Linked DNA regions of Danio rerio. The protein of the gene in region 1 purifies or fractionates together with the protein of each later gene. This does not show direct contact. Links are inferred from orthologs where the notes say so. Each region holds a gene or a part of one and is shown in the gene's direction. Other genes may lie near its edges. The genes, in order: naf1 and nhp2.

Region 1 (16,937 bases):
TGCCTGGATGGGAGACCACATGGGAAAACTAGGTTGCTGTTAGAAGTGCTGTTAGAGAGGCCAGCAGGGGGCACTCAACCTGAGGTCTGTGTGAGTCCTAATGCCCCAGTATAGTGAAGGGGACACTATACTGTCAGTGTAGTCCAAGGGTGTCAAACTCAATTCCTGGAGGGCCGAAGCCCTGCACAGTTTAGTTCCAACCCTGCTCCAACACACTTACCTGTAGGTTTCAAACAAGCCTGAAGGACTCAATTAGTTTGATCAGGTCTGTTTAATTAGGGTTGGAACTAAACTGTGCAGAGCTGCGGCCCTTTTGGAACTGAGTTTGACACCTGTGCCGTAGTCGGATGAGACGTTAAACTGAGGTCACTAAAAATCCCATGGGATTTCTTGTAAAAAGTAGGGGTGTAACCCTGGTGTTCTTGTCAGATTCCCTCCTTCAGCCCTTGCCCATCATGGCTTCCCAATCATCACCATCCACCGAATTGGCTTTATTACTGTCTCTTCACTCCACCAATAGCTGGTGTGTGGTGAGCGCACTGGTGCTGTCGTCCTGTGGCTGCCATCGCATCATCCAAGTGGATGCTGCACACTGGTGGTGGTGTGGAGAGACCCCTCTCATGATTGTTAAGCACTTTGGGTGTATGACTATTTACAATAAATGTGCTATATAAATACACATACATTCATTTAAGGATGACGTTGTTTACTGATTCCTCACTAAAGCATCAGAACATCTGCCGATTTACTCAATAATAATCAATAAGTAAAATTAGAGGTGAATGTTAGGGTTTAGAAACAGGCGGAGTTCCACATCTGTGAATATAGATTTACAGGGTTCATACGGTCATGGAAAACCTGGAAAAATCAAGGAATTTTGACATGGCATTTTCCAGGCCTGGAAAAGTTTGGGAAACACAAAAAACCCCCACAAAGTTTTGGAAAGGTCATGGAAAATAGTTTAACAATAATATCTGTAAACTTGAGCATAGGTTAGTTGTCTTTACTTCTTGTCTCTGCCAAAAACATGGTCTCACATTAGGAATGCTGCATAAGCATTTATTCATTCATTCATTCATTTTCTTTCAATTTCAGAGGTGCCACTGTGGGAATGAACCGCCATGTGTAAGCACTATCTAAATACATTTTACATACAATAGATTTATGTAATAAATTCAAACTAAATAGATTTGTTTTTTTGTTTTATGGATTTGAGCTTGCATAGTTTTTCATATTATTTATGAAGTGTATATATAAGCAATGTCACACGAGTAGCAGTGTGATATGGCTGTATATCGGCACTGGTGGGAGGCGTGTGTTGCCTTAGTGCCCCCACCAGTGCCGATATACAGCCATATCACACTGCTACTCGTGTGATATTGCGTTTATACAACAGTTTGACGGCATAATTGTGTATATAAAAACAAAATCAAACATGGAGAGTCTCAAAAACCCTTTTGTATGAGGAACTACTTTCTTCCACGTTGGATTAAAATCATAAGCTGACAGTTAAACAGCTGAACAAGCATCTTTTAAACTTTAGATCTGTTGTGTCTGCTTTTTGCTGGCTGTATGTGAGCGGAGTAATACACAAAAGGTAAAGAAGCTGTACGGATCCTGATATTACTTAAATTTATCACGACTATCAACCAATCAGATTCGAGAACCAGACAGAACTGTTGTGTGTATATATATATATATATATATATATAGGCATTCCATGAAACAATAGGTCATGACAATTTACTTGACAGTCCTATAAAAGTCATGGAAAAATTATCTCTATCGTCTTGTTCTGTTGACAGAATATTTTGTGTGTGTTTTCACACTTATAATGATAATACTAATAATACATATTTATTTTGGACAAATTGGTGTGAAATTAATTGTTATTAAATTACTAATAAAGCGATATATACATACAGAATGTATTAAATTCAAGTAAAGTGTCTACCTTAAGGTTTCTAATAAATTTGAAAAAGAATAAATGCATTCACGTGATAAAATATGTAAAACAAAACACATACACAACACTTTTGACCTTTTAAAACACAAACATCTTTATTATGCCACCATCACTTCTGCTAATAAGCAACTGTTACACTGAGTGACATTTTCTGAACGTGTAAAATCATGGTAAGTGTGTATGTAGACATTATTTATGCTCAAAAGAAATTAATGTACAAGGGTTCAGATGTGCTGTTTTAATGCGCACAGCTGTAGTTTGAGCCTCGTGAATTTTTGTGAAGCCCAATAGCGCTATCTGCTGGTAACTTGTTAATACTACAGCAGCCAGTAATTTGGTTATATTAAATGGTATATAACCTAAATAGAGATCAAATATTAATATAGATTTTTAAAAAAGTACATTTATTGGTGGTACATTTTAGTTGGTAGAGCGGAGGACTGTAGCGGTATCATAACACTGTCATCCTTAGGTCGCTGGTTCGAATCCGGCTCGAAGGAGTGTCTTTATTTACTTCGGTTTATACAGCTTACAATAATAACGTGTTCACATTAGAGACTTCGGGGTTGATTGAAACGAACTCTGTAGCCATTTTTGTAAGTGCGGTTCAGTTTAGACGGGGGAACAGGGACAGGATCTTGGGCAGCCCTGGTTTAAGATTATGAACACTGAACAGCCCCGCGAAATATAATACTTTCAGAAATCTCTGTCAACTTCCAAACAAACTACTACGGATTAACCGAAATATCAGCATAGACACGGAATATAGACGTCTATGGCAAGCCGTTTTAACATTTACTACTTTGTTTTGACTATCCATAAATATATTTAGAGATATCTCTAATTATATTTTGACTAGTCATAATTATAATTCGACTAGTCAGAATGACAATTAGAGATATCTGCAATTACATTTGTACTAGTACGAAATCATATTGGAGATATCTGCAAATATATTGTGACTGGTCATATTCCTCCATTGACTTCCATTGAAAAATATTTGCAGATATCTCTAAATGAGTTTTGACTAGTCACAATTGTGATTAGAGATATCTCTAAATGAATTTCGACTAGTCAATTGTAATTAGAGATATCTCTAACTGAGTTTCTACTAGTCATAAGAAGTCGACTAATTCCGCTGCTCCTGACGTCATTTCATACCCTTCGATAGCTCAGTTGGTAGAGCGGAGGACTGTAGCGGATTATCACTGAAATCCTTAGGTCGCTGGTTCGAATCCGGCTCGAAGGAGATTGTTTTTTCAAACATACGACTCGCATAAGCGTATAATTTCAGCTATGTATTGGTAATTAATGAATGACTGAAATTTTGTTTAGCTTGGCACTGTTGAATAAAATTTTATACAAATGTTCGCTTATTTTGTTTATATTTTAAACATTTAACTTTTGTTTTATCAACAGATATTGTGGCTTTTATTTTGAAAGGCTTTTTTCGGTTCCTGTTCACGTGTAGCCGATGACGTAGAATCATAGCTGAAGCGCTTTCTTCATGCTGTTCACACATGGAGAGCTAAACATGGAGAATTCAAGTACAGAAAACGCAACTTACAGCCAGGTAAAGGATGTTTTATATGCGTATGTGTGTTTCTTATCATTCACAGTCATTGTGGCACACTTGGTAGGTACTAAATATATGTATTGTATCCTCTAAAATGTGCATTTATAATTTAAACTTGAGTGATGAATAATTGAGCATGTGCATCAAGCATGAATAGCTGTAGACTAACTTAGTAAGGTTAGAGGAAGATGCAGCTCAGATTTTAAATAGATTTTTAATATATATTAGATTGCAAGTCACGGCATCAGTAACACCGCCACCCTGCTGAGTTAACTTTAATCTTGCATGCTGATTACTTAAAGAGACACTCAATGTTTTTTTTCCCCCTAAATATAATAATAACCATTAGAATTAATTCAACCATCAGCACCTTTGAGAAATGACAAAGATCATGTGCACTCACATAAGAGAATCACATCAGTTTAATAGAAAATGTTTTATTCCACATGTTCTCTTACGGTGTTAATATCATGCTGAATAATAATAATAATAATACTGATTAGGATTGTATGATATTGCAAAATTCTCATATTGCAATTTTTTATTCTGCGATATGAATACAATTTTACTAAATGAGTTGAACCATTTGGAATGGTTTTATAATTTTAGATTGATTTGGGTGGATTTTGTAGGGAAGTGCATAAAATATAAAAAACAATCTAACAGCGTCGATGAGTTCAATAACGAAAAAGATTCAAATGAAATAAACAGTGTTTTTTTGTTTGCAAGTGTTGGGTTGCAGCTGAAAGTTGGCGGTTCATTCTGCTGTGGCGACCCCTGATTAATAAAGGGACTGAGCCAAAAAGAAAATGAATGAAATTGTATTCAGGTATACAGTAATTGAATAATCAAAAGAAAAATAATACCACTTGGTCTTTGTTTTATAAACAATTCAATAAAAGTGATGGTTATAAAATTAAGAAAGGTACAAATGGTACAATTTCTTAGGCCTTAATGCTTTTAAAACCCTCACACGCCTTAGAAATCACTTGCAAAATTATGAATTTGAATCCAGACTTGCGAATGATGACATTACGATATCGATGCTGAAATGATATATTGTGCATCCCTAATAATAATAATAATAATAATAATAATAATAATTGCTATTTTTTCACATCTATATCTTGCACAAATTTTGTTTCTTTTCCAGGATCAAGATGAGACCAAATCTAAAAAAGACGAAATGGAACTGGATATCAAGACTGAAAACACAGATGTGTTAATTGGACCTACAGATGAACCATGCACCAGTGAACAGAGAGACGATCAGATCTCCAGCATTCAGCCTGAACAATCTAGCAAAGAGAATTCAGAACATCAACTTGTAAAAGAAGAAGATTTTACCAGTGATCATGCTGGACTCACAGGAGAAGATCAGAGCTCCGGTGGTCAACCTGCACTAATAAGAGATGCTTTAACCAGTGATCAGTCTGGACGGGCAGATCAGAGCTCCAATATTAAGTCTGAACCAATCGATGAACAGATCTGTAGTGTTCAGTCTGGTCCAGCAGAGATGCAATATGGGACTGTGGTCAGTCCACAGTCTGGCACTGGATCGTTGGCATTGCTGAGCATGCAGTACAGAGGAAACAGCTCGGATGACAACTGTTCTGACAGGTAAAATCATGCGACATTAAACACTATAGCATCTAGGCATATACTCAATATATTGTAATGATGTCCATGCACACATTGAGTATGGTAGGCACTTCAAGATACAGTGAAGAATATGTATTAATGTGTTGTAGAGTATTAGTAGTTGTTCATCACAGCATCAAATGCATACATGCTTGATTTCAAACAATTTTACATGTTAATCCGAGCTAAAACTGTGAAATGTATTCATTTATAGGCCTTTTGTGTATTAACACTGTACAGTAAGGCTCTTTTTGTTAACCTCAGTTATGTAATGACAACAACAAAAACATTTCATAGTTGGTGCATAATTGCACATTACAATAAAAAGTTGTATTTTTTATTTAAATGGAGTTAATAACTACCACAATTCTGTTGCATTTTTATATAAATGAGTATTTATAAATAAATAAATAAAAATAAATTGCCTGGTAATGACAATTAAAAAAAGCATTTTTCTATCTTTTAGGTGTTGTTAATTTCTTAATTAATGCATATAATAGCATTAAAATCAAAAGTCGTAATCATTTCATCAAATGGAGTTAATAACTAATACAATTAATTTGCATTTTTAAAATGAACTCTATAATTATGATACATGTCTATTTCTCACTGCTGATTTTAATGCATTAACTAATGTTTACCAATGAAATTTTAATGTAAAAGTGTGACCTGGTGTGCTTTCATTTAGATCCTTAGGTCAATATCTGGATAATACCGTATGCGTAAACTGTGATGCTTCAATTATACCCCCCCACCCCCACCCCAGGAATGTTCAATGCTAAATTATTTTATTACTTTTATTTAGTGACTCAGACTCTTCATCCTCCACATCCTCATCTTCATCCTCCTCTTCGTCTTCCTCCTCTGAGCCTTTTGAGGTAGTGATTATGCCGAATAAAGCAGAAGATGATGATGATGATGAAGGTTTTGCCGGGGGCAATAAAAAGTCAGCACCGGTCAAAACACAAGATGAGCTGCTTATTGATGTAAGTTTTAAGATTTTTCTTCTTTTCCAACAGCAATTTATGAACCCAAGCTGATATGTTTCCATCTTTCCCAGTGTATTTGATTAGATTGTGAGTTATTTTACTTATTTGTGATATTAGAGGTGTAATTCAGAGGAGTTTTGTCATCTAGGAATATATAGTTGGTGACGTAACCTAAAAATATATTTATAGTCTTGTTTTAAACATACAACATTATTGCAAAACACTGATGTAGTCTGTTACCAAATTCTTATTGTGTTCCACCATATTATTAATAAACATAATAATATGCAAAGAGTCCAAAAACTCTTCATTGCCACCTGAAAACAATCTTTTTCCTCAGGCTCCTATGTTTATGTTCAGTTATTTCACTATTATGAGAAATAATAGGTTATTTTCATTGCCTTTATTTATAGTTAAAGAACACTTTTGCATCTGAATCCTTCACACATCTTTAATTATTTTAATTAATAAAAATGTTCTTCATTGGATATGTTATATAAGATTTTACATACATACAAATGGTATTAAATTCAACTTGGGTGTCTGCTTTAATGTTTCAAGTCTTTTCTGTGGAAAAATAAATTCATTTTGAGTAGAGAATTATTGAGGTTAACAAACATATATGTATTATGCAAATATGATGCATCACTTAATTTGACATTTAATTATTAAATACTTTTGCATAAATATTCTACAATGCCATTTTGGCTGTATAAACAATTTCTACATTGAAGTTCTAATTAAATTATATGTAATTAAACTGTGCAAAAGCTTGACTACACTATATTTCTGTCTGTTATAAGGGCGATTGTCAGATTATGTAATTTAACAAAAAATATGCAATTTAATTGTATTTTTTACTCCTACATTTGTGTTGTAAACCAGCAAGTGTTACCAACACGACAAGTTTTATACTGACTCCTTTGTTATTCAATTATCTTGAACTTTTACTCCATTGAATAATTCCAATTAGCAGCACCAAAACCATTATATCCCTATGTTTGAATGTTTTGCATGTACAGAAGATCTTAAGAGGTTATCAGTGTCACACAAACAACCAATCCCCTCATGGAGAAGTAAAAAAAAAAAAAAAAAATTTGTTGTTGTCCACAATGACAGTCTTTTCCAACCCTGTTCCTGGAGGCACACCAACAACACATATTTTGGATGTCTCCCTTATCTGACCCATTCAGTAAAGGTTTGAGTCTCTACCAATGTTCTGATGAGTTGATTCAGGTGTGTTTGATTGTACTGATGTGTACTGTTGGTGTGCCTTTAGGAACAGGGTTGGGAAGCACGGCACTATGACACACCATACAAGAGCAAACTATTGATTCTTGCGTCCTGATACCCATTCCCATATGTGCCAAAATCAGGCTGTTATTGCATAATCAGACCTGAATTAATTGTGCCCGACACGTCCACTTGTGATTGAACCAACCGAGACCAATGTTAATAGCAGTCATCGCATTCAGCTGCCATTCTTGTTCATAGTTTAGTCACATCCTGTTTGGACTACTGTAATTCCCTTCTGTTTGGCCTCCCTAATAAAACTCTTTATAAATTACAACTGGTACAAAACGCTGCAGCCCAGATTATCACAAGAACCCCCTCTATCTGTCACATCACGCCCATTCTACAACCGCTTCACTGGCTTCCTATCTTTTTCCGAATAAATTAATTATAAAATGCTTCTTCTCACTTTTAAAGCATCCACAATCTTGCTCCTCCATACCTTGCTAATCTTGGTCATATCGCCACATCTTCTTGAACACTCTTCTTCCATTCACCTCACTGTTCCCTCTGTCCGCCTTGTCACCATAGGGAGCAGATCCTTCAGCCACTCTGCTCGTCAGCTTTGGAATTCACTTGCCTTTGATCTCCGTAATTTAGACTCTCTATTTAAATCCAAACTCAAAACACATCTGTTTATTCTCTCTAACCCGACTGCATTTTTAAAATTTGTATTGTATTCTATTGACTTTTATTGTTTTCCAATTTAAACTGATTGTTCTAGCTGTCCTGTACGGTGACCTTGATTGTCATGAAAGGCGCCTTTAAATAAAATGCCTTATTATTATTATTATTAGACATAAATGATAATGACATGTGGCATATCTTGTGTGCAGGACCTTCCTGCAGTGGAAAACTTGATCATCAGCCTTCCAGAAGATACAGAAATGGAGCCCATCGGCACAATATCAAGCATCGTGGATCAATTAGGTATTCAGACATCTGCCAAACCCCACATGGGTATATATTTATGGTATAGCAAGCATACTAGCTAGATTTATAGCACTAAAAATGGATTATTTGTGATTAGTGATCGTGGAGTCATACAAGAACTTACCACCACTGAATGAAGAAAGTGTGTTGTTCAGCAAAAACAGAAACTCTGTCGGCAAGGTCGGTAGTAAATATCAGTCAAATTTATTTCCAAATGTTTAGCAATGTGTCAATATGTACTATGCCGTTTTTCAGAGATATATTGGGGAATAATCAGCTTGTTGATTTCTCTTCAGGTCTTTGAAATATTCGGGCCGGTTTGTCAGCCCTTTTATGTTTTACGGTTCAACTCCCATGACGACATTGAACAGAAAGACCTTAAAGTTCGAGACCCGGTGTACTTCGCCCCTAAGCTTAAAGATTTCACAGACTACATCTTCACAGACAAACTCAAGACGTAAGTAGCTCATGACATTCATTTTATTTATTCGAATGCTCTTTTGATACCTGTGTTATTTTTCCACTAACATGAACAAATAACTCCTCTCAAACCAGGCTCAAAGGCTCAGATGCTTCCTGGAAAAATGACCAGGAACCTCCCCCTGAGGTAAATGTGCCTTTTCATGACAATTATGTAGGAAATCAGGTCAGCGCAGGTTTAATCTGTGTGGAAGAGCGTGGCATCCTGCTCTAATGTGTCATCAGTGTTATCTGTTAATGACGGATTGTTTAGTTCTCTGCTGATTGGGTTTTATTCTGTGTCTGCGTAGGCGCTTGACTTTAGTGATGATGAGCAAGAGAGGCTGGCTAAACAGAAGCTGAAAGAGCAAAAGAGGCGCCAACAAAACGACTCAGACTCAGGTGGGTCAAATGGTTTAATAAAGTGGCACTACTTTTGTTTTGGGGACTCCAACAATAGGTTTACAACCATTTAGGGTTGGAATTTATTTATTTTTTGAACATTTTGTCTTTTGCTGGGTGCGATTCTTTTGATTATCACAATTAATCAATATAATACTTTAATTATAATATATTAATAATAATAATAGTTTGTTTTGACAGTGTGTGTATAATTTATATATATATATATATATATATATATATATATATATATATATATATATATATATATATATATATATATATATATATATATATATATATATATTTTTTTTATTTATTTATTTATTTATTTATTTATTTTAATATATTTATTTATTATGTAGATATGATGCATGCATATAAACAAATCTGTACAAAACTATTTGTAACAGATATTTAAATTAATATATTTTCTTTATCATATACACATACATTTTATCTCTAAAATGTCATATATATTTTCTCAAATGTGTTCATGCATGTGTGTATTTATGAATACATACTATATATACACAACACACACATTAATATTATGTCAAAGCAAACATTTATTTTGCATGCTATTCATCTTTACCAAGCACTAATTTTGTCATAATGTATATATACATTTAATATTCTCATAATATATAATACACATTGCATTTGCTCCATTTAAAGCATAATGAACATTGCTGGAATTATTGTGTAATTTGAATTGGAAATAGGGATATGAGTTTACTCAAATTTCCACAGTCTGTCATTATTTACATTATTGATTCATCAATCAATTAGGGTTGGGACAATTGACGATGCCATCGTCCATCGCTGATGGCCAATAGACTACACAATGCTGAGCCGGCATCGCCGATCTTCCACCCCGCCCCCGTTCGCGAAAATACACACTCACGGCCCGTTTACACTAATACGTCTTGGTGTTAAAATAGCATTTTAGAAGGAAAATGATCCACATCCACACCGTGTTTTACCTAGCTTTTCTAAACAGCCCTCTGTCCGCTTAATTCGCACACAATGTAACCTCACACAACCACACACTGTTATGTGCTCCTCTGAGCTCCAGAGAGCAGTGCACGTCTGACAGTTTATCAAGGATGTACTGCTGGATCGTGTCTCTTCTATAGTTGTTAAACGTGATATTTAGACTTCCCAAGACTCCCGGAAGTTCTGGGAGTCTCTTTGTATTTGCGGGACTCATAATGCCTGCAAACGAGTGATAATCCCCCGGAAATTGCGCTGCTCCCTCCTGGTCCTCAAACAAGTCGCGCACCCTTCTCACCCTCGGATCCCTTCTCGCTCTTCAGACACATCGTGCGCACTCTGTCACTCCGTCCCTTCTGTTTTCTTTTGTTTCCTTCCATCAAACATTAGAAACATCGGCATTAGGCCAAATTGGTCAACATCGCCCAACCCTACAATCAATAATAAATAATGTGACGTTTACTTCAGTGGCTTACTGTTACAGGCATGACAGGATGACAAACAAACAAAATCCTCCTCAAATGTGCAAATGTTTTTAACTGTAAATAAAAGGCTAGTAGGATTGTAAAAAGAATCATCGATTGACATTTTACTGATTCAATACTAACACCAATATACATCAAGGCAATAAATACACACACTGGCAAATGCATGTGTTCATGTGAGCAAACAAAACTTGTCTTTTCTTTTCAGATGTGAACATTAGGATATATACAAAATGTTAACGCTTAAGCAATGATCAAAAATGTTTAAAGGATTACTAACAGACCTCTTGCATTCAAAACAGTTACACACTCAATAGGCAAAAGTGACACTTAAATAAAATGTGTTTTTAGTGACATGGGACATGATGTTGCAAGCTAAATTCAGAATCTTGCTTGTGCACATGGCTCAGTGTAGCGATATGCTAACTAACGGATTGGCTGCTGGTCACGGCCACCTAGAAAAGGGAACTGGTGCGATGATTGCTGGGAGTGGAAAGCTTCTGGATTTCCCTTCCTCTCTGGCCAACGACCAACATTTATTCTTGTACTAATGTCCATGTATGCTTGCTACTTTTTGAGAGTTTGAGCTTGTAGGGGTGGCCTGTCTATTTATTTGATTACTTTTGACCTTGTGTTCAGGGAGGAAGGTAAGCTTCCTGTATTTTTCTTGAAAGATTTACTGGTAATTAAGGTTATGTTGTGCAGATTCCTGGCCACCCTAAAGAGATCATTTAAATGAATACTTTCCTTTTTTCGGTAATCTATTCAATTACTCTCAATGTATTGTCCGCGTTTGGTTGTCGACTGAAGGGGATATTTTTGTTTCCTTCCACCACCCACAACCGTTCTTTTCATTTATTATGCCCATGTTGTTGCGGTGTAATAGCGCTACTTTTTATTCTTTTCATTGTCTTATCAGAGGATGAATCAGACGCCCAAAAAATGCCTCAAAAAGCTGCCCGGAGGAAGCCCAGACAGAACCGCAACCACCCTCGCGGGCAGTACCACAATCGCGGCGGCGGTTTCCACAGCAACTTCCACGCTCACCCTCGGTTCCCACCTGAATACATGCTTCCTCATCCGGATCCACAGATGTTTCCCTATCAGGGCCCGATGGTCCCTCATTTTCCCAGACCATCACCCTATCACATGGGCATGGCCCCGTGGCCCCCAGGGCCCAATCAGGGGTTTATGTTCCAGCCCCCACCTCCGCCTCCACCACCTCCTTATCAGTAAACCTGTGACTGAATCACTGTCTGTGCCCTAAATGCAATCACAATCTTTGTATACTAATGTATCTGTATACAAGTGTATAGTGTGGATCAATCGTAACTGTATATTTTCATGGTGCACTTTTTAAAATGTATTAAAAATGATTAATTTCTCATTTTTAGTGTCTCTTTCTACACGCAGATCTGTTTAAATGATGATTATGTTACAGTGAAATTTAATAAACTGTATTTTTCATTAAGTTTGAGTTGTTTGTGACAACACAACAAGGACAGATGCTTGAAACACATAAGAAACATCATTGAAAATCAATTACTTTCTATATTCTGTTTACAGTTTGCACAGGTTCTGTGCAAATTCAATTATGGTGCTGATTTATTTCAGGTAACTTGCTATAGTGTCAGTTATTCAGCCAGGAGCAGTGAATGTTTTTTCTTGTTTTCCTAACAATACTGTTAAATAGGTGATAAAATGACCAGTATATAGTAATATAACTGCACTTTCTTATGTTTTACTATAACATTATGGTTATTACAGCAGCATTAAGTTGCTTCTGGGCTTCAATAGCTTTGGAGTAGAATTAATTTACTTCATAAGCTGATATTTAGTACATTGGATCTCAGTCTGTTCGACTCAGAGCTGTTCATGTTTAATATAATCCATTGTTTAATATTGTACAGTTTTTAGCATTTAATAAATCTTTTGTTAATAAAACTAAAACAATGAAAGTCCCTCTGCAAGTTTGGATTTTTATAGTTAAATTTGTTATAATCTAAAATGACACCCTCAGTCAATTTTTAACCAAACAGTGCCCTATCCCATGATCCTATGTCCTCTTTCCTATTGACATTATGAGTGTCCAGGGATGCTCTTTTATTCTGATGTTTGTTAAGTGTAATTCTGACCTCAGTATCTCATGCGTTTGGACTCAAGGTTGCAGTGTGTTTCCAGCAGATTGGCAGTGCCCAGGGCCACACAATCCATCTGGGAACTGGCACTTTCATTGGCTTCTGTACAATATGGGGCACCTGATGGAAAATGTGGACATGTCTCAGCCATGTCTGAACCACTACATTAGCATATTCTGGTTATAATTAGGTGTATAGGGCAGATTTATTTTAGAATTTAAATACACTACTATTTACTTTTGGAAATGTTTGTTTTAATAAAGATGTTACATTCTCAGAAATAAAGGTACATGAGCTGTCACTGGGGTGGTAGCTTTTCAAAATGTACAAATGTGTACCTAAAAGGTCCATATTAATACCTCAAAGGTATTGGTAACTAAATAGTATAAAAGTGTTATCTTAAAATGTATAGGTACTATGTACTATTGAGGTACCAATATGGACCCTTTAGGTAAAAATGTGTACCTTTTGAAAGGGTACAACCCAATTGACAGTTCATGTCTTCTCAAATAAATTTTTAATTTTGGTCATTTTATAACTGTCTAATAGTAATAATGTTATGTTCCAAATTAAAATTTATTTTAAATTCAGCATGAACAGCATCAAATAAATGTCATCAATAGTTTGCAGTGCAACCAAACATTTATTTTACTCAAACATGTGTAAACCCAGAGAAACTGAATAACAAAGTGATCTTGTTTATTTTAGCATATATTTAGGCTACACCAGATGGTTTATTTCGGTATTTATCAATTAACTTACAAAATGACCACCAATTTTACTTACCTTTTCTGTTAATGACTGGAACGTGCGCAAACTATTCACACATTGGCGTTACTTGGAAATGTTTGCATATAAATTAGCCCCTTTCAGATCCTATTGATATTCAAAGTCTTAATTAAACATAATCTAGGAGTATATATACGGTAACTCGTCGATTAGCCTTCATTTATAGCAGCTACAAAGTTGTCTTTGTTCGTTTGTTGACTTTGACCTCATAATGGTGTTTTGCTGTGTTTATATAATATAGGGAGAGAAAATGATCGAACTGGAACTCAAATAAACATTACGTAAATGGGCCAGCTGTCTAAGTATGAAACTTTAACACTAAAAACCGAACCAGTCATCAGTTTCGTGCTTTTCCGCTCATCATTGTTTGGCGTGTCATTTGAGGGGAACGTTTTTGGCCTTGTTTCAGCAGTGATTCAGTTTCCTCCTTGGACCATTCGGTTGCCAGGCAACGCCATCAGGTTTCTGTGACAGAGAGTGGCAGCTCTTCGCGCTTTTTTTCCTCGTGCTGACACGGATCTCCTACAATCTGAATATTTTAGGCAAAACAAAGATACTGAGCTCCTGCAAATGGCGAAATGTCTCTCAGCCAGCTGTTGTTTGTTAATGACGGAAGTAAACGCCATTTCCTTGTTGTGGTATTTGGTTAAAGCAATGACCACTGCGTATATACAATATGTACTCTAAGGTTACAATGAGTCAATAAACTACAGGTGAGTTTACCATTTTGACTTATATGTTAGCTTGTTGTCCCCTTACTAGTGTTTTACAAAATAAATGGTCCCTAATGTGTGTGTAGTATTGTAATGTTTGTGTTTTGTGGCTGAAAATGCTGTTGCAAACGTATACATTCATACATTTCTACCGCGTAAGTGTACTCATTCATTCATTCATTAATTAATTAATCAATTCATTCATTCATTCATTCATTCATTCATTCATTCATTCATTCATTCATTCATTCATTCATTCATTCATTCATTTTTCTTTGGCTTAGTCCCTTAAATCACCAGGGGTCGCCACAGTGGAATGAACTACCAAGTTTTAAGCAGCGGATATCCCTTCCAGCTGCAATTAACCCAGTGCTGGGACACATCCACACACTCATTTACATACATACACTACAGCCAATTTATTTTATTAGTGCTGCCACCATAAGTGTATTGTGCGCAGTAATTTATTCTAGTTTTTATTTATATAGGCCTATTATTAATATATCTTTTTAACATTTCAGCTTTGTTTTTATTTGTTTATTTATTTATTTAAAGTACTTTGTTGTGCTTTTGTAATGTTTAAAAATGTCACTAGTTGAGTTTGGTTATGTATTTTGTTCAGTTAGTAATTGCTGTGCTTCAAACATGTTTAATTATTAAATAAAAAGATAGATAAATAAATAGATAAATATGGAGAAAAACTTCATTTACCCAAGATGCTGTGCTGAAAACGCCACCAATCACTTGCATTGCTAAATGAAAAAAAAAAAAACCCAAGGGGAAAAATTGAATGGGGAAAAATGCTTTCCGTGTTGCATGCGATTGTTCATTGTGAAGTAATGAATTCCATTTCACTTGCGTTTACTCAACAGTGTGCAGTATTCAGTAAGCAGTGAGCTGTTTTTTTGTTCTAAATACAGCCTAAGACACTAAGGGATTGAATGTAACTGTTTTTTAGAAGTTTTTTCTCATAAAATGAGTTATGTTTACGCATACTGGTAAAATTCTTCCTCTTCTTTTTAGGGTTTTGCATTGCTGTGTAGTCACGTCTTTCTTGGCCATCTGCCCAGTCTGATCCTAAACGGCCCGTGAGTTTCAGAATGAGGCCTCCATGTTGTTTTAATTAATGTTGCTGGGAGGATGAAGGACCAGATCTACCCGAATCACACTTGGAATGTAAATATATACTCCCAAAATGGCTTTGATTTAGCTGACTGCTGTGAAATAAAAACATTTTTTTTATGTTTATGGAATGCAAAATTTAAGTAACCTCTCACCCAGAAATTTCCTGATGTTGTTCCAAATCTATAGTAACATCAAATATGAAAATTGTTTTAAAGAATGTTGTTGACTAAATAGTTGTGGTTCTCAGTGACTTCCATAATATAATGGAAATGTATTTGATAAAAAATGTTCTAAATAGTTTCAGATAATTAGAATAATAATAATAATGCAGAATTGTTTTAAAAACTTACATGTTTGAAATGACATGAGGAAGATTTTTTTTGTGAGGACCAAAATGTTGAATTTAAAAGAATTTTTATTCATTTCACATTAAAAAATACTTTTAACAAGCTAACATTCATGCATAAAATAAAAAAATAAATAAATATTATATTTAAGTAATCCTATTTTTAATCTAAAACAAATGACAACAAAAAGTAACTTCAAAATAAAATAAATTCTACATTTAATTAGGTAATAATAATAGTAATCATAACAATAACAATAATAAATATGATGATAAGGACAATAAAAGACATTATATAAAATTTAAAGCATTTCAAATTAAAAACACACAAAACATATATAAAAAATTAAAGAATAAAGTCATAAGTAAAAGTTTAGGGCCAAACGGAATCATTTTTTGCTATTTCTGCAGAAAATTTTGGTAAAAGTCTGCGGATTTCAGCGGAATTATTTTGGGAGTATCATAACTAAAACCTTAATATATGAAATAAAAAATAATATCTTTTTACTTTTATTTAATGTTTAAAATGTAAATCTAATTAGATTCACTTTGTTTGGTAAATAAAGCAAGTTTGTCATATATTTGATTTAGTAAAAGACAGAAAATATTACTGTCAGATGAACATTTTCACATTAGTCAATAATATTACTGAAATTATTAAAACAACTGAATAAATATTTACACACGTTTACTCAAGTAAATAAACAGAAATAATGATGGGCTAAAGATCTGAAAATCTGCGGAATTCTGCGCGCGCAGATTCCGGGTGGGCCTAATTATAAGTATTATGCCATACATTATGAGCCAGAGTTATACCGTCAGTTTTTTTTTGTGTGCAAAATTCAGTTCATTTCATTCAGGTTTATTTGTAAAGTGCTTTTCACCATAATTGATGTTTCTAAAGCATCAAGATTCTCTCAACATCTGATTTCGCAGAAAATGTTCTTCACACAAAGCAGCCCAAGAGTTACCTGATGACAAAAGAGCAAACTGAGCTGAAAGATAAAGGGGGAGCAAGAGAGCTTGAGCGAGTGAGCGAGCGAGAGAGAGAGAGAGAAGGAGGGAGGAGAGACGAGAGCAGGACGC
Region 2 (17,744 bases), on another chromosome or scaffold:
CTGGATGTAAATAAAATTGAATGTTATATAAAAGATGCATGAAAATGATAAGGGAATGTTCAGGAAACAAAGTGTTTTATAAACATTTATTTGTTTGATATAAAAGTTAAAAAGAGTGTCCGACTTCTGTAAAAAAAAAAAAAATGTCATTTTTACTGCCACCGGATACTGATGTGGTTTTCCTGCTGATTTCTGTCAGTCCTCAGATACAGTGTTAATATTTGCATTTTAAAGATGTTCATTTTTAACACTAGGGCACTTAATTGAGCAGATTTTATTTATTTTGACTTTGTACATAAAAACTGTTTAAAGAACATAATCATTTTTCTACATTGCAGTTGTTGTTCTTTGCAATATCGATGTGATTGTTTGTATTAAGTATAAGTGTGCGTGTATGTGTGAATTTAAGTGTATGGGTGTTTCGAAGTACTGGGCTGTGGCTTGAAGGGCCGGAAAAATATCCTTGAATAGTTGGTGGTTCATTCTGCTGTGGTAGAATAAGCGACTAAGCCAAAGGAAAATTCATGAATGTATGAATGTTTGTAATAAATGTGTTTTCAAAAATGGCTTTGTGGAGCTCTGTATACTAATATTATCAAGCGTAATTGATAATTCTGACATATACACACTTAAGGTATTTAAGCCAACAGTTAAGATACATTCAAGCATGTAATTGTATAGAAACATGGCGTAATTGTAATTGTATAGAAACAAAACGTTCACTAATGCTTTAAAAGGAAGCATGATGATGATGATGATGATGATGAATTTAAAATAGGTGATTTAAAGTTTTGGGCGTCACGGTGGCGCAGTGGGTAGCACGATCGCCTCACAGCAAGAAGGTCACTGGTTTCAGCCTGGCTGGGTCAGTTGGAATTTGCATGTTCTTCCTGTGTTCGAGTGGGTTTCCGCCAGTTTCCCAAACAGTCCAAAGACATATAGGTGAATTGATTAAGCTTAATTGGCCTAGTGTGTGTTTGTGTGTGAATGCAAGAATGTATAGGTGTTACCCAGTGTTTGGTTGTGGCTGGAATTAATTAATTAATTATTAAAAGCTGTGCAAAGGATTATTGGATAGAGGTAAAGTAGATTTTACAATCACACATTTGATCACACATTGTTTACTATGCTACTTTGTGTATTTGGTCTGAAATCACATGTAAGAATGATAGTAAAACAACATTAGCACTATTAAACTGACTTTGAACAATGCCATACTTTAATAGTCATTGGTTGCTGATAAGATTTCCCTATTTAGAATTTCAAAAGAAAACTTTAAAAAAAAATTTAAGAAGCTGAAAGTCCAAATGTGTGAATGTAAAACCAACCAAACCTCAATGACGGTTGACAGTAAATTTTTCCTATTTAGTTCTTATAGTAGTAGTGGGCACAATATTTACTTCACAAGACTATTATTGGTTTAATTTTAGAGACCGCCACTTGAAGATGATCCTTTTTCTTCAGTTGTGTATGATTTTTTAATCTTTTTAAAAAACATTTATTTTTCAGCTATGTGATGCAGTAAAGGTGTCAGAGTTTACCATAGTGCTGTAAATTCAGTCTGCTGCAAGTGATGCTATTGATATTAAAAATTACAATTAATGTTATTGATATATACAGTAAACACCCCATGGGTTGCAATCCAAAGGAAAAAAAGACTGATTTTTTTTGTGTGTGTGTGTGTGTGTGTGTGTGTGTGTGTGTGTGTGTGTGTGTGTGTGTGTGTGTGTGTGTGTGTGTGTGTGTGTTTTTATGTAAGTAGTATAACTTAATACTATATGCATTATCTTCTGTAGGTTATGGATAAAATATGGTAATTCTAATAGTTGAATAAAGTTTATTCTATTTTTTTTAATCATCCCCAACCTATAAATGTAGTATACAGCTCCTAAAATGCAGTTCTAAAAACAAAAATAACCACTAACCATTGCAAAACAATGCTGCTCCACCACATTTTTGAAATGCCACACAGTCCTACCAGGCCTGTCCTCAAATAGACTGTTTTCTTTTTCTGAAAGCTATGAAATAGGCAACAAAGCGGTAGGTTTACATGAATCTAAAGAAGACCCTTTCTGCTACATTTTAATATAGTTAATTGTGACTTTTTTAAAGTGTACATCAATCTCAGACTAGCCTTTTTGCTAGTTAATAAAACTAAATTCTGATGCATATACTCGCAATTGCAAAAATAAAATCTGAGTTAGTTGGAAAAGTGTCAGAGCTGGTAAAAACACACTTCTGACGCTTCTACCTGCAATTCTTTCTGTATAATTGTGAGATGTAAACTCACAAAAGCAAGTTACAAAGTTCCTTTCGAAAGTGGAATTACTTTCAAACAATTTGGGAGTTTATATTATTCAATACTGAGAAGAAAATAAGTTACAATTGCAAATTTCTCACAGTTCTGGCTTTCTAACATACTTGTAGTTTCATCTTGCTGTTCTTTGTCAAAGGTCAATATCGCAGATTTATATATTTAAAACTTTAGTACTTTTTGACTTTTTTCCGCATAACTGCAAAACATAAGCTTGCTTTAAGTTTGTAATTTACGAGTTTATGTTTTGCCATAATGAGAAAATAGTGAAAATTTATAAACTAGATCTATGGTGTCAGCTTGGGGTCCTCAGACCATTAAAAATTCATGAGGTTACTACAGGGGGTCCGTTCCATAAGACAGGTTAAATATACTAAATAAATTATATGCTTATATATTTATTTATCTTTTTGGTTTAATGCGTAATGTGATAGCGACGCGTTTGTAAAATAAAATACAGTCTACCAAACCTGCTACTTCATGTCAGGGGTCTCCGAGTTGCCTTGCCTGTGAATCTGGGTGGGTGGTCTTTGCCTTTGGGGCACGTGTAGAAAAGGATTACAACCCCGTGAGGAAGATTATTATTAAGTGTTGTCCAGTACAGTATTTAACCAGCCAAATACGGCACTTAAGAAAAAAACCTACATCCGTTTAATTCTGTGCTTTTACAATAACAATTTTCAGATGTATTGTTTTATTTTTGCACAATCATTTAAAGAGAGATTCATTAGAGTCGCTTAGTGAGTCGATTCACTGATTCTGAACCATGACTCACCGAGCATGTCACGCGCTCCGACCACCCGTACAGATACTCGACTGAGGAAATGGCCGTGCGCTTTCTGTCCGTAACGAGAAGAAATCCGATCGATCTGTGCAGGTTAACACCAAGTGCGGTCACCAGGTAAAAAGACGTTTACCGAAAAACATTCATACAAGTGTGCGATTTATGTGAGGAAAATTAGGTTTTAGTTTATAGTGTCGTCATTTTGACCGTTTAAAGTGTTGCGGGGAAGCCCCGCTGCTAACAGGCTAACGAGCGAGTTAACGGTTTAGCCGGGACCACAGCTCACAACACTTAAACATACAACCAATATCAGTTAAATGCTTTACAAACGCCAAGATGTGTTAACAGCTAGTCACTTTGTGATTGAATGGTGTTTTACGGTATTTGGCAAGATTTCGCGAGCACTCGCATCTGGCACATTGAAAAAAAAACTATACACGTAACGCTACATCTGTGTCTTTAAATGTTAACGTACACGCTTTATCCTCCGCAGTCACAGGTTAATAAATATAACAACAACACTGTTATTATAATATACACTAAGGCACTGTCGGATGTTGTGGAAAACGTATTCTCTTTCCCCTGTTTACTGTAAAGAAGTGTTTGTTTGGTGTTTACTTTCACTCGGGTAATCCTCAATCCCACGGCTCATTTGCTTTCACAGATTTACGTTACACGAATTAAACCTGTAATTACTCATGGTGATGAATGGCTTTTATTGCATACTTAATTTTCTTTGAGTCTTACTGATGCTAGCCGGTCATATGTTATCAGCCCTCCTATTGTTTAGGCATTTGCAGTCACGTCTGATCCTTTGGATCAAATTCAACCTACATTAAACATCATTACTGGTGTAAGAATTTATTACATTGGTTATATGGCGTGTTTTATGTAGCTTGCTCGTTTTTTTTGTTATTTAATTGTTTTTAACAACATTATGCAAAATCTTTATGTGTATTTATACAAACCAAAGTGGAAACCCACACTTGAAAATGTTGATTAATTGTGGGCATTTTTCTTCTCTCTTTATAGTTAAATATAGTACTTGTTATTTAACATGATTGTGGCCACAGTTTACCTAAAACACTGGAACAAAATTAGAATTGGGGTTCTTTGTCTATTTTTTAACAAATTTACTTACTTTTGATCTGAAAGAGAAAAATTATATTTTCTAAAAACGGACAAAATATTTTCAAATTAGTGAATTGCACTCTTCAAATGCGCCAAGTCCTCAAAATATCCATAATTAACTTGATCAAGTGTTTGTAAATGCTATAATTTCTAAAATCTTTGTATATGGAGCAGGTTTAGTTGATTTGGTGGGGAAAAATATATATACATTTTGAGTAATATTTATGTGGAAAAACAGTTGTACATTTAGATTTTTCCCCATATCTAACACCTCTTAAAGGCTGGATTTATACCTGTAAAATCTATTTTGCTTGAAAGCATTGCAGATTATTATATGTTGTTTAGGACTAGTAGCCTAGATTTCATAAATTTAGTTTTTTACTATTTAATTGCATTGTGATTCAATAGTGACATTGAATTTCAAACAAAAAAAGCATATGTACATTTAAGAAATATTGTTGATAATTGTTAAAATAACAATACTCTTCATCCAAACTGACCTAGATTGCAAAATCACATATTTTGAGTGTATTATTACTTTTTTAGTGTTAATTTGTGGTTATTTTTTCTTTTTTAAAGTAGTATATCTTAGAGCTGGGCTAATATACGATATTACATCGAATTGCGATTAAGAAAATTATCTATGACAATGATAAGATCACAGCTGATATGATCTAAGAACCAATTACACAGCAGAAGCGTGCAACGATGGGAATCTAAAAATGTGTAGAGATGCATAGAATTCTCAGCCATCGAAGATTTATCGGCCAAGAATATGTTAGGGCGTTTAACAGACCCTCAAATTTTTGTGGCTTCAGTCACTGTTAGGATACTCTTTTAAATCTGGAAGCATTAGCAACTTCTATCGAAATATATGTTGTTATCACTCAATATGGAAAATAATTATCGAGATTGCATTTTTGCCATATTGCTCAGTCTTAGTATAATTGTTCTATTAAGTAACAGTTGTGTGGATGTGAATAAAATGTACAATAACCATATCTATTTTTTCCTGAAATAATGTGTATTATTACAGTCAGTGTAAATCAAAGATTCTGTTTTAATTACTACTGTAAATACTTTGGAGTCAGACAACTCATTAAACAACAACTATATATATTACACAACAACTATATATAGTAGTTGTTGTTTATTGACATTTTCTTTGTCAAATACGCTCTATAGTTGTTGTTGTTTTTTGCAGAAACCTGAGTAGCTCAGTCTTTGTATTAAAATAGGCATTCTTGTAGAATATATAGGTTATGTGTAACGTTATACTACACGTGAAAGGAGTGAGTGTTTAGCAGCTGTTCTCTTGTTTCATGGCTTCAGGTCTGCTGTAGGCCTCTTTAGCACTGCGGCAGAGCAGCGTAGTGCTGGTGACGACTGCCATGGTGAAGACAGAGATGACGACCACAGTCATGCCGTCACACACGTCCGGACCCTTGAGATGAGAGCCAGAAAACTGGAGGAGCAGGTTCACGACCTCACCGTAAGTTCACACTAATTTTTTTTACTTCAGCTGAGGCAACTCTGTCACTCTTTAACCCGTTGTAGGGCACTCTTTGGAAAAACCGTGGAGTGTTACTGGGATTATTAAAAAAAAAACGTTGTAATCAATGTCAATGAAGTTACCATGTAGGGTTCTTCACCCTAAAATGATCAACTACTACATAACTACAATCAGTGTAACTCGGAATGTCAAAGGTTTGGACAAAGTTTGGATAAATAATAAAAATATTGGGGCAAAATACTTGTTTGCACTCAAAGTCTATTAAACTTCATAACTACCCATTAAACTTATTGTGACAGAGATATATTATTATTCTTCACAAGAATGTTCTTACAGTATTATTAATAATAATAGTTTAACTTTGTTTTTTAAGTAATAAGTACACAGTGTGTTTTCCATCTCAATGATAATCTATGTAACCGTAATTTACCATTTGAACAGAGCTCATTTCAGTTAGTTGTAAATGTTTTGATTAAGATTTCTAAAATTGTTTTTTTTTTTTTTACTATAAATATGGAATCAAGACACATTAAAAACACAGAATCTAAACAAAAATGGAATTAGATTTTTTATTATCCTTAGCTGTGAATGTTATATTATTATATTTTATTATTTAGGTTTAAGTTTAGGTTTTTCATTTAATAATTTATCAATCCAAATTTGTGCAGATTTTCTAGATGTTTTGCTTCCTTGACATTAATTCAATTATAAAAGTAGCTTTGCAGTTTAAATTATAATAAAAAAACATCTTATATTCTTATATTTAATCTTAAATAGATTTTATTAAACATATATATTAGGCCTTTACAATATCTGAAAAATCTCTGATATTTTGTAATTCTGCGATATTTATTTTGAAAAAAAAATTTTAAACAAAAGATTGATTTTCATTTTGAGTACCATTTCACCAGATTACTTTTTTATCTTTATTTAGAAAGAATTAGTAATTTTAGACTGAATAAAATATATTTATAATAAAATATATATTTTTAGTTCTGAATAAAATATAAACCATCTAAAAGCATAGATCAATACAATAAAAAAGCTACAATTTAAATAACGTTTTATCATTTTCCAGAGTCTAACAGTATGTAGGTTCAGTAATTGTCAAATTATTAAAACAGTAAAATTGATCATTAATAAAGTGACAAACGGTACAATTTATCATCCATGAATTCTTTTAAAATCATAATGTAGTCACAGGCCTCAAAAAAACACATGAAAATGATACATTCTATATTCTGCAATGGAACTGTTGCGAATGATTATCGATGCTGAAACGATATATTGTGCAGCCCTAATCTTTAATCTGTGGGGGTATTGATTTATCTAATTTGGCATGAATCTAAATTTGCTTGCTTGACATTTATAATAAGTAGTACAGCATTTGTTTATAAATGCTTGATATTTTCTATATTTACAATTGCTATATTTATACGATTTGTACCAGATAATAAGCAAATCAGAATTATCTGCTTGTTTAATGTGACGTCACATGAAGTGGCTTCCAGGTCCAATTGCTCTATTAGACTGAATGAGGAGACTCAACAAATGGCAAGGATAAGCATAATGTTTGATAATGTTTGCAAAGTGATGTCATGCTTTCAAAAATCACAATTGCAATATTTAGTTCCATGCCTAATATCAAATGGCTAGAAAGTGATTCATTTTTTTATAAATTGTTCAAATATTGGTGACTGTGATGCAGCAAGTCCAGAGATTGTTGCATATAAAAATCATTTTAATGTGTGATATGACTTAAAATTGGGCACAAATTAACATTTTCTCCTTTCAAATGACTAGCGGCCTGGACCCGGAAACAGTATTTTATACGTCACGACTTAACAAGTGAATATTGGCCTTCACTTTTAACATTGTATCTAAATGTTTAATTGTTGTTTCTAATTTAGTTTTTGTCAATTGTTAATTAACTGTGCTTTTCACAGGAGCGATACAAGCGAGCCGTTGCAGACTCAGACAATGTTAGAAGAAGAACACAGAAATTTGTCGAGGACGCCAAACTTTTTGGTATAACTAACTATACACTTAATGCACGCATACCTTGGTGTCTCGTAAATCTCTCAGTCCCACATTAAGCATAATTGTCCTCCTGCAGGGATTCAGAGTTTCTGCCGTGACCTGGTAGAAGTGGCAGACCTTCTGGAGAAGAACTTAACAGTTGAGGAGAGCGATGGAGCACAGCAGCTGGCACAAAACCTGGCACACATTCAGGAGCGGCTGCAGGACATCTTCACCAAGCACGGACTGGAGAAGATGACCCCTGTGGGAACCACATATGACCCCTATCAGCACGAAATCGTCTGCCATACTCCAGCCGAGGGCGCGGAGCCTGGAACCATCGCCATGGTCAAGCAAGACGGTTACATGCTGCACGGACGCACCATTCGCCATGCCCTCGTGGGTATCGCTGTCAAGACTCAAGAGCGGTGACAGGACTTTGGTTCACTTCTTGTCCCGCTAATGCTTTTGTACATTCATAGTTTGTACGATGCTATTGTTCTTACATCTCTAGACGACTACATGTTTGACTTACTCTTTGAAGTAATGGTTATTTATATGTATTTATAAATGTTTTGTTGTTGTAAGCTTCTACACCAGTTTTTGTTTTGAACCCCTGATTTACACAATGTCCAGTGCCCATTTAATGTCTGGAAAGGTTGTCTTTTTGTGTGTTGCAGTGTTAAATTGACCCGGGAAATGCACTTTACGCCTTTATTATAGTGGATTCCGTATGTGATACTAGTTTAGAGGGAAAAGCAGCATATGAGATTGGTGAGAATATTAGTAACACTACAGTTTGATGATGTGTGTTTAACAACAGTTGAGGATTTGGTTATGAATTAACAATGAACAATCATGTTTAAGGCGTTTATTCATCATGGTAATGTTTAGTAGATGTATATCTAATTAGTTCATTGTCCATGATATTAGTAAATGCTGTAAACCTTTAGCAAACGTTTAGTTCATGGTCACTAATTTTAATGCATATAGCATTATTGTAACCTTTCCAGAAAGTTGTTGAATGTGTAAAGTGTTGAAGGCCACCAGTATCCAAAACAAAAGACAAACGTTTTCTCTTTTGGATGGGAGAAATGCACATTATATATAGATATGCATCCAAAGTGCAAATGAGCTTCGTGCTATTTGGGAGATAAAGTGAACATAAAAAATATTTATGTATTTATTCTGTTTGAAATAGTTTGCCCTGATAGTTTACATATTTTTTGTAGCTTAGAAGAAGAACTGAAACTGTAATCTATTTACATTTTCATTTAAGCTGAGTTTTTACTCATGCAATTTTTTTTTGTAAATGATGGAAACTCTTTAGTTTTGAGTGGATGTGTGAGGCTGATGACTGAATAAAAGTCTTTTCTTTTCGTTTGTTCATTTTGTGCACTAGGGGTCAGTGTTTTTAAAACAACTCAAAAACACGACATTCTAGATGTAGATACATAGATGCCTCTTTTAGATTCTGCCATGTAACGAGCAAAATATTCGAGAAGTTGACTGTAAAAACAAGCAAGTGTGAATATATCTACAATAGATTTTAATGTATTTTTAGCAACACGAATGCATTAGTTGATGTGTATAATAAAAAGTAATCTTTCACAATAACATATACATTCTTGAAAAGTAAACACGTTTAACTAATTTTTCCAAATGACTTTAGATTGTAAAATGATTTCCCCACAATACTGCTGATAAAACCATGAATTAAGATGCCATTATAAAATACCTACATTTCCCCCTCTAAATGTCCAGTTTCTTTATAAATTAAAATCGAAGTGGTAAGTGCAAGCTAAATTTACCGTTGGCGGACGGAGTCTGGAGCGGTTTCTAGCTCAGATACGGTTGCGGCCGGAAATTAACAGTAATCATTTATATTGTTTATTAAGTTTCCTATTTATTGTATTTTATTAGCGTCTGCCCCAACCCTAAAGCCAGCTTATACAGTGATGTAAAAACGGCCGTTTTGCCGCACTTATTTATTATAAATAAATAAATGGTATTTCATTAACGTCTGCCCCTAAACTCAACCGTCACAATACTGTAAAAATATTATTGTTATACAGTGTTATACAATATATTAAAAATATATTACTAATAAAATATTATTGTTATACAAAAATGATCCGCAGCTGTATCTAGACTTCACCGTCGAGAGCGGCATCTATGTATTATTCGACTCTATGGAGGAAATACTGCAGTGTTCGAAAAACACCGGAAATACGTTTATAGTCACCGCACGTGTGTTGTGCCTTGCATCCTGTGCCTGCAACACTATCAGCCTTAAGTTAATCGCTAAAGTATATTTGTGTACATTTTAACAAAAGATGACAAAGGTAAAGAAGGAGAAAGCCGGGGAAGAAGAAACCGGAGGGACGGAAAAATCATATCAAGAGTTGATAGCTAATATTAACCCAATCGCAAACCCGCTAGCATCGCGAAAACTTAGCAAAAAGCTCTACAAATGCGTCAAGAAAGGTAAACACGTGTTCAGAACTTGTTTTTAACATTCATAAAGAGTAACGTTATTGCCTGCGAGTGTGAATGAAAGTATACTAAATATCGCTGTCTGTAGGTTTAATATGTTGCAGACACGTGGTTGCAGTCATTTGTTCATTGGTTATGAGTGTTATTCATTATTATATTTATATTTTCTTAGCGGCTAAAGTTAAACAGATCCGACGAGGAGTCAAAGAAGTACAGAAGTTTATCAACAAAGGAGAGACTGGGTAAGATTAAGGTTTTTTCAGGTATTTGTTAAGCCCATTGGTTGATCAGTCCAGGGTTTAACCCATATTAGCCTTTTAAAAAGTTCATTCTAGTTTCAAATTGACTACACTACTAGACAAAGAATAATACTAATTTTTAATTTAACACGAAGAAATGCACAAAATTCACAAAACTATTTGAGCTCATGATGTTGTATTTGGTTCAGTTTGTACGCAGTATGATCATCTTAAAGGGATGGTTCAACCAAAAGTTATTTTATATTTTCATAATTTACTCACTTTTTATTTTGTTCCAAACCAGTTTAACTTAATTTTTTCGGTTGAACAAATATATTTTGACTTCCATTGCATTTGTTTTTCTTACTATGGTAGTCAATGTTTTCAGCTTGTTACAAAATATCTTTTGTGTTCAACAGAAGGAATAAACTTGAGGGAGAATAAAGAGTCTGTTATTATTTTTTTTCCCTGTGATTTATCCCTTTATAGTGTAAATATATCTTTAACTTATGGTTATAGTATATGAAAGCTATATTAGTTTTAGAAAACTAGCAGTATATTTTATTTAAATTATTTAAAAAATATCCTTGAATCTGTTGAAACTTTAGACCATTTTGAGGGACGTAAACAATAACAATGGTCCCAATTAGGCATGGGTGGTTTAGAATTCTGATGCTATGATAACCTTAGATCAGTGGTTCTCAAACTGTGGTACGTGTACCACTAGTGGTACGCAGGCCTTCTTCTAGTGGTACGCGGATGAATCAAATATGTAATATGTACATGCTACATATATTTAAAGAAATTATCAAAAATGATTTATATACGAATATGATGACATGAAGCCTATATTTATGAGGTCTAGGCAACTTTTCCAGGTGCTAACAAACCAGGAGTTATTTCTTTTTTTAAACTGTACAGAGCTTAAGCTGCTTTACTAGACCTAATACGCTACTGTATTTCAAAACTGCTCATTATGGTGGTACTTGCAAAGACAATTTTTTTCCGAGGTGGTACTTGATGAAAAACGTTTGAGAACCACTGCCTTAGATAGAAATATCACAGTTTTGTGATCACAACTCTAAAATATTTTCTTTTAAATGTCTAAAAAAAAAAAAACACGTTCTTCTGCTGCCTTCAAAAACACAAATTTCTCTACAATTTAAAACGACATATTTGGATATCTACTCTGCTGAAGATGTTGGCCTAAAAAAGCGTAAATAAAAAATCTTACACATACCTTAGGAATGAAATACATGAAAATTTTGAATGTTTTAAAACCTGGACTTTTTCCAAACCGCGGTAAACCTTGAAAACAGTTGTCATCCCATGCCTAGTCCCAATGTATTTTCTGTTTGACATGTTTTCATTTCTATAGCTTCTGAGAATCCAAAAAGGTCAACATATTGATAAACAATGTTATAGTAGCTGTTTTAGCATTGAGTTATAGTTAAATTCCCTCTTTTAACAGTTATGATAGTCTACACATGAATCATTTCTGCATGAAGAAATTACTTCAGTATTTTGTTTGTAAAATGTAATATCGTTTAATTAAGAAATTGTTACCATTTATATAGATTATATGCACTTATAAATTTAATTATATTATGTATTTAAAAATATTTTCAACTATGAAATTTAATAATAGCTTTCGTCTTTGTGAATTTTTATATTTGAAAAATTTTCTCAAGTTTTATGTATTAAAATGGGTAAGTGTGTTAACATGGAACTTGTATGGTAACATTCAAATTGTTTTGATTTTTTTGTCATTGATCAAAGTTTGCTGATCAGACACAATATGGCTTCAGTCAGACAAAAAGTTATTATGAGTTATGACTTGAGATCAAGCAGGCCTGAAATCTGAAAATCAAGTCAGAGTTATTAGCCGCCCCTTATATTATATATTAGATATTTATTTATTTATTTATTTATTTATTATCCTGTCTAAATGATGTTTAACAGAGTAGAAAATTTTCACAGTATGTCTGATAATGTTATTTCTTCTAGAGAAAGTCTTATTTGTTTTATTTCGGCTAGAATAAAAGCAGTTTTTAATTTTTCAAACACCATTTTAATGACAAAATTATTAGCCCGTTTAAGCTATATATTTTTTCGATATTCTACATAACAAACCAGGGTTCATACAGTCATAGAAACCCTGAAAAGTCATAGAATTTTGACATGGCATTTTCCAGGCCTGGAAAAGTTTTGGAAAACCAGAAAAACCCACAAAGTTTTGGAAGAATCATAGAAAGTAGTTTAACAAATATCTGTATACTTGAATTAGGGCTGCGCGATATTGAAAAAATCTGACATTACCATATTTTGTGTTTCTGTGATATATATTGCCATATAAATACAATTTTGCCAGATGATTTTACAGGTTTATTTGGATTGACCGGGGGGAATCTTGAATAATATATAACAAATTAATTTCATGCATAGATAAATAAAATATAATAAAGATAAAAGCTAATGATAGTTTTCAGGTATTCACTATTCATGTACAGATATTGAATAATAAACACTGCATAGTCTTTATTGCATATTATTTAATCTTTAATAAAGTTACAAAGCATTTCTTGTGAAAATTGTCATTTTTGGGTGAACTATCTCTTTAAAGATGCGTGCAGATGATAAACTTCTACTCCATTATAATTAAACTATAATTCCAACATTGCATATGCTGGGATGTGACTATTGTGGATGCACACACTGCGATATCGATTACATTCCTAAAACGATATATTGTGCAGCCCTAACTTCAATATTGGTTAGTTGTCTTACTTTCTGTCCTTGGCCAAAAACTTGCTCACATAAAAATAAATTTAAACAAAATAGATTGTTGCGTGTTTTATGATATGCTGTAATAAATTTGAACGTCATTGATTTTCTTATTATTTACCATGTATATGTAGACATTACATGAAACATTACGTCATGAAAATGTACTTGAAAGTTCTGGAAAAGTCTAAATAAAATATTGTTTACTGTCATCATGGCAAATATGAAATAAATCGGTTGTTAGAAAGGAGTAATGAAAACTATGAGGATTAGAAATGTATTGAAAAAATCTCTCCGTTAAACAGAAATGGGGGTGGGGGGAGGTAAACGGGGGCGAATAATTATGACTAACTGTTTGCGTTATGTATGCTTTATCAGGATTAAAAAATATTTTTTATGAATTGAACTTAATCATTTAATTGTTAAAATATAAGTTACAATAGTTTATTATTTTAAATGTAATACAAGTGTTTTTTTAATGTTTGTATTTAGTGCTGTCAAAATTAGTGTAATGCATGCAATTAATTTAAAATAATTAACGCATTGCAGGGTTTTTTTATTTCCTGTTGTGGTCGACGTGTGTATAACATGCAAAGAAATATGGATAAGAAGACCAAGGAAGCACTTTTTGAAGGAAAGTTTCAGTATAAAACAATTAATGTCACTTTTAACTTTCGACTTCTGTTTTAATAGAATTTGATACCGCATGGTGAATGGAAAGAAAAGCCTCTGCATTTCGTGACTCGGTGGTCCTTTATTGTAATCAAAAATCGCTGCTTACTTGGTCGACTCTTAATAAGAGTATTATCTTAATCATATTAAAATCTGAGTATTCATTCATTCATTTTCTTGTCGGCTTAGTCCCTTGTTATTCCGGGGTCGCCACAGTGGAATGAACCGCCAACTTATCCAGCTAGTTTTTACGCAGCAGATGCCCTTCCAGCCGCAACCCATCTCTGGAAAACATCCACACACACATTCATACACAACGGACAATTTAGTCTACCCAATTCACCTGTACCGCATGTCTTTGGACTCTGTCAGAATCCTTGTGAAATATAGCCATACTTTAGAACGCTTAGTTTAAGCAGATTTGATGAACGCGGTCATGCTTGTTGAATCTGAAGGGAGTCGCTCCGGCTCCCCTGTCATTGCGCGCGTTGTGTGTCTGTCTGTCTGTCTGTCTGTGTCAATCCCGTGCACAGACCCTTACAGGGGCAGGTGCTCAACACGACCGCCTAATGTAAAGAAGGACTGAGCAAAATTGTTTCTACTTTATAATTAATGTTCTCAACTCACAGTAATACAACTTTACAATGAGCACAATTGTTTGTATTCAATACTTTATTATTATTATTTTCTAATTTTCATATTTGCAATGCCTGTATTTTGGCATATTTTGCAGTCCACTTAAAATCCAACTTGGAATTTTTTTTTTCTTTATTGGCATTGATTGTTTTGAAACTTAAATGGCACTAACATGCCTGTTTTCATTTCTGTAAATATGGCTGTGAAGCAGGATCTTGATGGGTTATTGTGGGTTATTTACATGAAGAAATCTGTGTTACAAGTTAAAAAAAAGTCTAATAAACAATTATATTTTGAATTTAAATAGTTTTTTGACTTGCCTTTACATTAATTTTACATTTGAATAGCCAAAATTACAAGTTTCAGTCTTTTAAATGTGATTAATATCACTGTCTCTTCACTCCACCAATAGCTAGTGTGTGGTGAGCGTACTGGCTCCGTTGTCCTGTGGCAGCCGTCGCATCATCCAAGTGGATGCTGCACACTGGTGGTGGTGTGGAGAGACCTCCCCCTCATGATTGTGAAGCGCTTTGGGTGTATGGCCATACATAATAAATGCGTTATATAAATACACATTACATTACGTTAATTTTCAAAAAAAAAAAACTGTGATTAATTAGTTAATTTTTTTTTTCGATTGACAGCACTAATTGTATTACAATAAACAATTACATATTATGTAAATTATTTTAAAATGTTATCAAATACATTTGTCAATAAATACCCTAAGAATATTAATATAAATGCCATAAAAAATGTGACCTTTTAAAAACAAGATATTTCTGTCATGTTTAAAATATTGTTTATCACAGCCTAAATTTCATCTTTATTCTTGAAATGACCTGTGGGATGTGGCTCTCTGTTATCTAATATATTGGAAACCCCTAATGTTTCTTATTTTCTGTCCTCTTTCAGTATTGTAGTGTTTGCTGGAGACACTCTTCCCATCGACGTCTACTGTCACCTACCAATCATGTGTGAAGACAGAAGCCTGCCGTATGCTTATGTGCCATCCAAAGTTGTAAGTTGATCAGAAGCGTATACAATAGACCTCTAATGAACCTTTGTGAAAGCTATATTCAGAGATGCTCATGTGTTTGTGCAGGATTTGGGCTCGTCAGCCGGATCCAAGCGTCCCACGTGCGTCATAATGATCAAACCCCATGATGAGTATAAAGAAGCGTATGATGAGTGTGTGGAGGAGGTCACATCTCTGCCGAAACCAATCTGAACACACTTCACTTGTATTTTTTTTTAAGTACAATGACTATATATCACGTCAGATTAGGATGGTGTGATGTTTATCAGTACAAGACTCGCCCTGGTTTTTGTCTTTGTGGACTTTTTTTATCTGAAGGAGGAGGAACAAATGTATGATGGCGGTTAATGATCTTGTGTAAAGAAAGCTTTAGTTCAATTCACTGTGCGGTGAATGTTCAGCCTGTTGATTTACTGAATATTTGACGCTGGTGATCTCTAATGATTGATGTATTGGTGGCTTTTATTTCTCTCTTTCATAACTGCTTGATTTGATTTTTGATCTCAGAGCTCCAAAAGATGTCAAAATAAACATTTTGATTGTTTTTTTTCTACCAAGTTTTGCATTCTTATTACTAATGTTATTATTTTACATGATATCATACAAAACTTTTATTCCAAAGTGCTGCATTTGTCATTCAAGATTTCAGTCTGCACACCCTAAAATAACAATGCCAGTGACTCCTCAGCCCCCAAATTCCTTAAGTGTAAAATATAAATATATAAACACCCCATACACAAAAGGCCTATATACAGGGTTCATACGGTCATGTGTAACCTGGAAAAGTCATGGAGTTTTGACATGGCATTTTTCAGGCCTGGAAAAGTTTTGGAAAAAAAGAAAAACCCACAAAGTTTTGGAAAAGTCATGGAAATCACATTTACATTGAGGAGACGTTTTTGTCCAAAGCGACCTAAGCTGTGGTCACACTAGAGCTTGTGCTTGCAAAATTCCATCGTGTGATGCTGTAAAAAGCGGCGGGGTTCAAAATATGATTAGACATTAATAAATGTAAGCGTTTGCTCCATATTTTAAACTTCTTATTTTGAATGATCTTCTATTGGTCTCACGCAATAACCTGATGTGATTTGGCAAGTAAGAATTCCCCAAGCTTGAACTTTTGTATGCAGTAAAATGCGAAACACGTTCTTGTGTTTCTGGTCTGCCGCATTCGCATGCCTATGAATGGAAGTCTATAGAGCGAAAAGTGTAGTGAGATCACGGCTTTATAATCCAAGTAGTTTTACCCACTACTACTATTTTAACAAACCATTAAGATTATCTAAAAGTAGTTATTAACTACTGGCAAATAATTGAGGTTAGAATGGAGATTAGTTTTTACTAAAACATGTTCTGACATTATTAGTGATGTATAAGCATCATCTATTTTACATAGGTACAAAATGAATGGATACTATTGAATGTTTTATTATATACTGTAATCAATTTAAACGTTTTTTTATGATTTGCCACATATATGTAAACATTAAATGAAACATTAGGTCATGAAAATTGACTTGAAATTCCTGGAAAAGTCATGGAATTTTTGTAGTAAAAATGCGTATGAGCCCTGTATATAAACACCAGTATATTGACAACACAAAAACAGGAATAACCATGTCATTTTTATAGTCATTTATTAATTAGTTTAATATTAACCTCCTCTAAAGAGACTGGTGGACAATGTTTTTAGCACAAGTCTATTCTTGGTTTAATTTTGGAGACTGCCACTGGGAGAGCATTCTAAGAGTTCAGCTGTGGCCTGTATTTACTTTTAATGTAGTTGATTGCACATAAAGGTGTCAAAGTTTAACCTGGTGGTATAAAATCAATCTGCTGCAGCTGACACTATTGCTGTGTTGTTAATCTAACGTAAACACACCGATCCTATAAAATAATAATAATTATTGAAAGGCTGATAGCTTTTCATTTGCATGTTGTTGTTTTTTTATGTAACTATGAAGTACTATTAGTATCTTCGGTAGGTTATGGATAAAATATGGTAATTCTAATAGTTAAATAACACTTATTTGATTTTTGGAAGGTGATTCATTCTGCTGTGGCGACCCCAGATTAATAAAGGACTAAACCGAAAGGAAAATTAATGAATTTTGGAA

The links.
Region 2: the proteins of naf1 (region 1) and nhp2 purify together in Homo sapiens (affinity purification with western blotting; 3 studies listed by BioGRID and IntAct, with this or other methods). This does not show direct contact. The link is inferred for Danio rerio from reciprocal best matches to the Homo sapiens genes NAF1 and NHP2.

What each region holds. Positions count from the first base shown.
Region 1 is NC_133179.1:10,562,931-10,579,867, forward strand, and holds naf1 (H/ACA ribonucleoprotein complex non-core subunit NAF1), read left to right. Parts: upstream 1-3,453; 5' UTR 3,454-3,473; coding exon 3,474-3,539; intron 3,540-4,695; coding exon 4,696-5,162; intron 5,163-5,988; coding exon 5,989-6,169; intron 6,170-8,301; coding exon 8,302-8,395; intron 8,396-8,495; coding exon 8,496-8,578; intron 8,579-8,694; coding exon 8,695-8,855; intron 8,856-8,953; coding exon 8,954-9,005; intron 9,006-9,168; coding exon 9,169-9,259; intron 9,260-11,659; coding exon 11,660-11,976; 3' UTR 11,977-12,211; downstream 12,212-16,937. UniProt on the Homo sapiens protein: RNA-binding protein required for the maturation of box H/ACA snoRNPs complex and ribosome biogenesis.
Region 2 is NC_133196.1:33,048,672-33,066,415, reverse strand, and holds nhp2 (H/ACA ribonucleoprotein complex subunit 2-like protein), read left to right. Parts: upstream 1-9,964; 5' UTR 9,965-10,097; coding exon 10,098-10,248; intron 10,249-10,429; coding exon 10,430-10,499; intron 10,500-15,503; coding exon 15,504-15,609; intron 15,610-15,693; coding exon 15,694-15,819; 3' UTR 15,820-16,184; downstream 16,185-17,744. UniProt on the Homo sapiens protein: Required for ribosome biogenesis and telomere maintenance. Part of the H/ACA small nucleolar ribonucleoprotein (H/ACA snoRNP) complex, which catalyzes pseudouridylation of rRNA.